Linked DNA regions of Macaca fascicularis. The protein of the gene in region 2 purifies or fractionates together with the protein of the main gene of each other region. This does not show direct contact. Links are inferred from orthologs where the notes say so. Each region holds a gene or a part of one and is shown on either strand. Other genes may lie near its edges. The genes, in order: ARMCX3 and RANBP6.

What was found.
Region 1: the proteins of RANBP6 (region 2) and ARMCX3 purify together in Homo sapiens (co-immunoprecipitation; 3 studies listed by BioGRID and IntAct, counting the BioPlex papers as one, with this or other methods). This does not show direct contact. The link is inferred for Macaca fascicularis from reciprocal best matches to the Homo sapiens genes RANBP6 and ARMCX3.

What each region holds. Positions count from the first base shown.
Region 1 is NC_088395.1:108,279,373-108,283,209, forward strand, and holds the start of ARMCX3 (armadillo repeat-containing X-linked protein 3), read left to right. Parts: upstream 1-904; 5' UTR 905-1,186; intron 1,187-1,458; 5' UTR 1,459-1,649; intron 1,650-1,913; 5' UTR 1,914-1,974; intron 1,975-2,235; 5' UTR 2,236-2,303; intron 2,304-2,586; 5' UTR 2,587-2,732; coding exon 2,733-3,837. UniProt on the Homo sapiens protein: Regulates mitochondrial aggregation and transport in axons in living neurons. May link mitochondria to the TRAK2-kinesin motor complex via its interaction with Miro and TRAK2.
Region 2 is NC_088389.1:93,025,137-93,029,053, reverse strand, and holds the start of RANBP6 (ran-binding protein 6), read right to left. Parts: upstream 2,974-3,917; 5' UTR 2,966-2,973; coding exon 1-2,965. UniProt on the Homo sapiens protein: May function in nuclear protein import as nuclear transport receptor.

The DNA.
Region 1 (3,837 bases), on a different chromosome or scaffold from region 2:
TATATTTTGTAATGTTCTTTTTATGCACACTCATTTTTTCAGTGTGCATGCTTTATCTCACAGATACCTACTGTGCACTTACGTTTTCTCCTCAGGTTTTTTTTTTTTTTTTTTTTTTTTTCCTGCGTTCTGGCTTTTGTGGCTTCAATGCCTCCACCTTGCTAATGGGTGCAGGTGAAAGTCTGTAGCTCTCCTATTTAGAAGACTGGTCTAGTCAGAGGATTTACATATTGCCAGACACACTGATTAGCTCATTCAGGGCTGTGCTGTGTGCTAGGCCCCAGAAGACATTAAGATTGCTTTGAGTGAAGTGTGTAACACTCTCCACCAAGTGAGAAAATGTGGGACTTTTGGAGGCCATCACCCAACATCATTCTCCAGCTTCCACTCATTTTTTTCTAAAATGGAAATAGCTTTATAGTATTTTTTTTTTCTCGTAAAAAGAATGCAGGCTGGGGGCGGGGGAGGACGGAACAAAAATAACAAAGTATTAAGAAAGTAAAAGCCACACTCTCATTCCAGATTTTCTTTTCCGATCGCTTGTTCCTTTCAGATCTGGGACTAGATTTCAGAGGAAATGGTAGACTTTAATAGCTCGGGGGAGGGAAGGTGGAGGGAGAGGCTGCTGTCCCAGGAGCCTAGGGAAGGAAGAGGCAATTTTTCATAAAAAGTACAAGTGGCCCGTAGCCCCAGGGGAAGATGTCGTCCCTTTCTGGTAATCGGTGGAAGGGAAACACAACTACAAGGTGATGAGATTATCGAAGAAGAAAGAGTAACAAGGCCTGGTGTGGGGGAGGGAAAGGAGGGGGGCGGGCCCTCTTCTGCCGCACTGCTGGTGGGAGGGGAAATTGGGGACCCGAGTTGGTGGATGACGTAGCTCTCACGTGACCAAGAGCTGACGTGTGCAGAAGTCCTTCTTGTCCTGGTCGTTGTTCCCGTCTGAGTACCAGCTCCCCATTGCCCTGAGGGCGGGCGGGCCTGCGGCGGAGGGAAAAAGGAAGAGGAGAAGAAAATTGTCCCGGATCCCTGCAGGTCAGTGCCTGGGAGATTCCATAAAGTCAGGGTGCTAGAGGGTGTAGGGCCGAGACCGTCGCGGGTACTGAGGCGCCTCCGTCGTCTCTCCCACTCGCCGCCCGCTTTCCAAGACATATGTCCCGCCTGCACCCCATTTCGATGCTGCGAAACGGTGAGCTGGGGAGTGTTTGGGGAAAAGCTCAGAGATCGGGAGATGGGAATCTGCTGGGAGCCTAGGCCCGCAATCCGGAAAGGGAGCTGTGGCCTGGGTGTTGGCCCCTAGTCCACCAGGACAGTGCCGGAGGGGAATGGCTGGATATGGGGGCGGGGGTGGTGAGATGCAACGTGATATGTCAGCAGAACCCCAAGAGAGGTAATAAGGGTGGGAAACCTCTGACAACCAGGCCTCCGAATTAGAAAAGAGTTTTGTGTTCTGGGGACTAGTCCGTCCACCAAGCACGCAGTGGCGGCAGTTTCCCGTCTTTCTGCCTGTGGCTGTGTCTTCCTGACCATGGCTCTGTGTCTAGTGGGTCCAAGCCTCTCCCGGGTGGCCAGTCTTTCTGTAGGTTGCGGCACAACGCCAGGCAAAAGAAGAGGAAGGAAATTAATCCTAATCGGTGAAGGTCGATTTGAGGGTAAGACCATCTGGGGACTCTAGGAGGGACGGGGTTGGCCGCGGGGGTGGGGAGAAGGCAGAGAAGGTAATAATCTAGGTACAGGTTTGAGTCCGAATGTGTTTGTTGCACTCCCCGGACTGTGGCGAAATGGCGTGCTTTGTGTGTGTGTGGTGGGGGGGAAGTGGGGGAAATGACAGCAGGGAAACCTATCGGATAGTTTGTTCATAATCCTCCTCTCTCAACAGCACTTACTCCCCATGTTTTCGATCTGTCATCCTGCAGGTCTGCTATAGCAGGTGGCTCCGCTTGAAGCGAGGGAGGAAGTTTCCTCCGATCAGTAGAGGTCGGTGTGGGCGTGGGGGCTGCCTGGAATGGGGGAGGGGTTAGAAATCGCTCGCACTTTGGACAGGCTCTTCCAATCCTGCTTTATTTTCCTTACCTCCCTCCCATTTCAGGCTAGGGAGGGGGCAGACCTGTGCATGTTTGGGATGGCATAAAGAGGTTAAAAACAAACCTGATAGCCGGAATGGTGAATCAGGAAAGCAACAAATCAACAGTCAATCCATCAAGTGCTCCGTTCTCACTGGCTCTGGTCTCTCTGCAGATTGGAAAGGTTGTTGGGCGTGGCACACCACCAGGAAACAGAAGGGGCGAACTGCTTGTCTTGAGGAGGTTAGTGCAAGGGTTCTAGTCAGGTCCCTGGGGACATCTGAGGTTGTGGTGACTGAGACCCCAGCAGAATCTGTGGATTCCACTGGCATTATCTAGGCTTTGGGCGGGGTGACCTGGGGTGGGGAGGGAAAGGCTGAAATGAGAGGCATAGAGATTTTGTCAACAATCTACATTTCCTACCTAGCATTCAATTATTATTATCTTGTCCCTCTGCACAACTCCCTGCATGGGACAACACAAGCAGAAGAGAAACTCAAACCCGATTTTATTCTTCCACTCCTAGGTCAACCTCCGGAATCAGCTATTGTGGCCTTGAAGTGGCTGAAGACGATCACCCTCCACAGGCTTGAGCCCAGTCCCACAGCCTTCCTCCCCCAGCCTGAGTGACTACTCTATTCCTTGGTCCCTGCTATTGTCAGGGACGATTGCATGGGCTACGCCAGGAAAGTAGGCTGGGTGACTGCAGGCCTGGTGATTGGGGCTGGCGCCTGCTATTGCATTTATAAACTGACTAGGGGAAGAAAACAGAACAAGGAAAAAATGGCTGAGGGTGGATCTGGGGATGTGGATGATGCTGGGGACTGTTCTGGGGCCAGGTATAATGACTGGTCTGATGATGATGATGACAGCAATGAGAGCAAGAGTATAGTATGGTACCCACCTTGGGCCCGGATTGGGACTGAAGCTGGAACCAGAGCCAGGGCCAGGGCAAGGGCCAGGGCTACCCGGGCACGTCGGGCTGTCCAGAAACGGGCTTCCCCCAATTCAGATGATACCATTTTGTCCCCTCAAGAGCTGCAAAAGGTTCTTTGCTTGGTTGAGATGTCTGAAAAGCCTTATATTCTTGAAGCAGCTTTAATTGCTCTGGGTAACAATGCTGCTTATGCATTTAACAGAGATATTATTCGTGATCTCGGTGGTCTCCCAATTGTCGCAAAGATTCTCAATACGCGGGATCCCATAGTTAAGGAAAAGGCTTTAATTGTCCTGAATAACTTGAGTGTGAATGCTGAAAATCAGCGCAGGCTTAAGGTATACATGAATCAAGTGTGTGATGACACAATCACTTCTCGATTGAACTCATCTGTGCAGCTTGCTGGACTGAGATTGCTTACAAATATGACTGTTACTAATGAGTATCAGCACATGCTTGCTAATTCCATTTCTGACTTTTTTCGTTTATTTTCAGCGGGAAATGAAGAAACCAAACTTCAGGTTCTGAAACTCCTTTTGAATTTGGCTGAAAATCCAGCCATGACTAGGGAACTGCTCAGGGCCCAAGTACCATCTTCACTGGGCTCCCTCTTTAATAAGAAGGAGAACAAAGAAGTTATTCTTAAACTTCTGGTCATATTTGAGAATATAAATGATAATTTCAAATGGGAAGAAAATGAACCTACTCAGAATCAATTCGGTGAAGGTTCACTTTTTTTCTTTTTAAAAGAATTTCAAGTGTGTGCTGATAAGGTTCTGGGAATAGAAAGCCACCATGATTTTTTGGTGAAAGTAAAAGTTGGAAAATTCATGGCCAAAC
Region 2 (3,917 bases):
TCAAAATCTTCCCTATTGCTGAGATACAGTTCTCTGTAGCAATGACATTTTTTTTGGTTTTGGAATTTGCACACTTAATAACTTTTACCAGCAGTGGAACAGCTTCTGAACATAAAGAACGATAATCATCTCCACCAAACTGTGCCATGACACCCAGGCCATAAGCAGCAGCTTGCCTGACTTCAGGGTTGTTATCTCGCATATTTAGTAGCATTGGCCACCGAAAATATTCTACATATTTAAATGAAGTTGGACTGCAGTGCTCTATGATGTCATCAAATATGCACAATCCCCACTGTCTGTCTGGCCATGGCCTACTTGAACAAATTAGATTTACAATTAATGGAAGTAGTTGTTCAAACCATGGTAAAATCTTTTCCTTATAAGTACTAAATAATGAGTGCAAAATATCTGATACTTTTGTCAGAATATAAACATCACATTCATCCTCATCTTGCAGAGACATCTCAACCTGTTGATCATAGTTTTCTTCCTGTCTTTTAACCTGTCTCAATTCTTGGTTTTTAAAGTGCCCTTCAAGTTTTGCTTTCAGTATTCCTCCCAGTTCTTCCAAGTGTTCATCATTAAGGCAACCATCTCCCATAACTTCAATGGACTTTGCAAAAGAATTCATTATTTCCGAGAGCACATCTGTATCCGGTTCAGTACCAATAGCCTTGATTAAGGGGTCACATATGAATTGCCACATCTGTGCAAGATACTCTGGGCCACGAATTCTTGCACATTCCAGGAGAAAAGGCATGGACTCCGCTGCTGCCACTCGAACATTGTCATGGAAATAAAATTTCAGTAAAGGAACCATCAGCTTCACAACTTGTTCTGTATATTCCACAAACCCTTCCCTTAACTCCTTAGCATAGTAAACCAACATTTGGCAAGCAGTTGCTTTTGCTTCAAGTCCTGAAGTTTTAATTCCAAAACTCTGCTGGTCTCCAAGATTTACAAATTGCCAGCCATCATCATCACTCATATTCTCCACATCCTGTGTGTCTAAGAGAGCAACATCAGGTTTAGCTGAAGCAGTCTTAATAAGAGGCTCGATAACTAGTGGAAGGTACTGTTGAAAATCTTTTCCAAGAATTTTACACATTCTAGCCCATGCTGAAACCATGTAAGAGGTCTGAGGGTCATCATCTTCCATATTATTTAAGTCTGATTGTGTCTTCAACAACAGCTGCATCACATTTGATGCATCTTGCATAAATTTTTCCTTCCCAACGGCAAGACCAATATGGCTAATGCACTCAATAGTTTTTCCTCTCAGAAGCTTAAGTTCCTTCTGAACAGCAAGCTCAACGATGTGCTTTAGTGAGGGCATGAATATATCATAATATGGGACAAATATTTCTTCTATTGTATCTGCAACTGATGCAATGGTTGTCACAAGTTGTTCCAAAGCCAATTTAGTTCCATTCCGAATCAACTCTTGAAGTTTAATCACCAAGATGGAATGTAGATTTTTCACCATACTATCCAAATATAGAACTAGCAATGATTTGGGGCAGTCTTCAATAAAAATAATAAGAGCAGAAGCTGCATGTGATTGCACACGCTGATTACCTTGATTTTCCATGGTACGTAACAGAGCTGCAATCACTGTTTCATGAAATTTCTTTTGGAAATTAGGTGCAAAATCTGTAGCCATCTGTCCAAGTGTAGTACAGGCTGCAGCCCTCACCCTTGGATGAGGATCCTGAAGAAAAAGCAAAACGGAGTTAACTGTTTCATCTAGAATTGATTCCATTTGTTGATGGCATCCTTCTCCAATGGCAGATAAGGCCATTAATCCAGCATGTCGATACTTCCAGTCAGGGCTCTGAAGCATCTGCATGATATGCTCCTTGGTCATTGGTAAAACAACTTTTCCACCAAGCCCACAAGCCAGTCTGTCTAGTGCACTCTCCGCAGCAACTGCATTGCTGTCAAAATCATCTTCTTCCATTTCATCAGCATTTACCCAGTCCTCATCATCTTGTAGATCAACCATCATTGCTAATATATGAGGAACTGCCTGTGCAATAATATTTGTATGTTTTTTCAACATCGGAGTGGCAGTTTCAGACAAGGTCACTATAACTTCGAGGGCCAGCTGGCGCTGCAGATTACTAAGCCTAGAGTCTCCACATAACTTCAAACTCAACTGTAGAGTATCTTCTAAATAAGGACCCAAGTACTTAGGTACGGTATCTGCAATCTCGACAAGGGATTCTAGCACTGAATCATCATCCTGGTAGCATGAGTCATTCACAGCCTGTAAGATTCCAGGAAGCAAGTCTGCAAAGTCTTTGAAAAGAGCAATATTATTCTCATTAGCAAGTACAAATGCAGCTGCAGCTCTAGCGGATAATGTCCTGATTGCTGGATGTTCTTGATCTTGAATACATTGGTCCAACAACCGTTTGATGATATCCAAATCATGCCGCTCTTGGGTCCCAAAAATCCCAGGAAAGTGCCAGAAAACGTGAAGTGCAACTTCCCAGAGAACCACATTTTTAGAGTAGATTGAATCAATAAGAAACTTCAGACCTTCCGGCCAGTGGTTAGTACCATCCTCATCTATCAAATTCCTGGCCAGCACTGCAAAAATATCACAAAGTTTTTTCCTCATGCTAGCATGTGTTTCTAACTTAACAGCAAGAATCAGTTCAATCTTGACATCCCTCTGAACATCAGCAGGCAGATTTGGATAAACCTCCTCAAACCCAGAGGACAAAAGCCGTCGTAGCAGTGCGGCAGCCATTTGTCTCACCTCATAACCTGCTCTTCTATTTCTGACGGCATCTAAGAGGAAGGTAGTCTTACACAGACCTGGGATATTTTCATAGATTTCCTCTGCTTGCCTCCGCACCATACAGCTTGGATTGATCAGGTTCTTCAGAAGCTGGTAAAACTCTTGCTTTTCTGACACAGTCGCCGGCACCCCTGCAGACGCGGTCGCCGCCATTGCGCTCTGTCAAAGCTACCGCGACCGGGAAGGAGGGAGGGGGTCTGCGGCTCGAAGCAGTGACGTAGGCGAGGCGCCGGCGGGGATGGGCGGGGTGCTTCTCCCTCCTCTGCCCAGAAGCTTTCGCTGCGCTCTGGCAGGCGGCGAGCTAGGTTTTGGAGAGAGGTGAGAGCTGTGTGGAGGCCAATGGCATCCTCCATTTGTTTTTCAATAAGATAAACGTGCACTTGCAGAGGAGAGAAGAAAAGCATTGATTAGAATGGGATTATGACTGATTTTTTTTTTTTTTTTTTGATACAAGGTCTCGCTCTGTCACCTAGGCTGGAGTGCAGCGGCGCGATCCCTGCTCACTATAGCCTCAACCTCCTGGGCTCAAGGGATCCTCCCCGCTTCAGTTCCCCCAGTAGCTGGGACCACAGACGCGAGCCACCACGCCCGGCTAATTGTTGTGTTTTTTACAGAGACAGGGTTTTGCCATGTTGCCCAGGCTGGTCTCGAACTTCTGGGCTCAGGTGATTCGCCCGCCTCGGCCTCCTAAAGTACTGGGAACACAGGTGTGAGCCACTGCTTCCGGTCAGATTATGAGTGATTTTTTTCTTTTTTATTTCTAAACTTATTGTTACTTTGATAATTTTAAAACAATAAATCTATCTTGAAAACATGCCAAGTAAAAGAAGCCAGTCATGACCACATATTTTATGATTCTATTCATATGAAAGGTACCAAACAGGCAAATCTGTATAACAGAAATTAGTGGTTGCCAGAGGCTGCGGGGAGGAGGATGGAGAATGACTACTATCAAATAGGCTGTTTCTGAGTGAAGAAATGTTCTAAAATTAATTGTGATGGTTGCACAATTCTGTGATTATACTAAAAACCATTGAGTTGTACAATTTAAATTGGTGAATTGTATGGCATGTAATACTACAATAAAGCTGTTTATAAAATAATA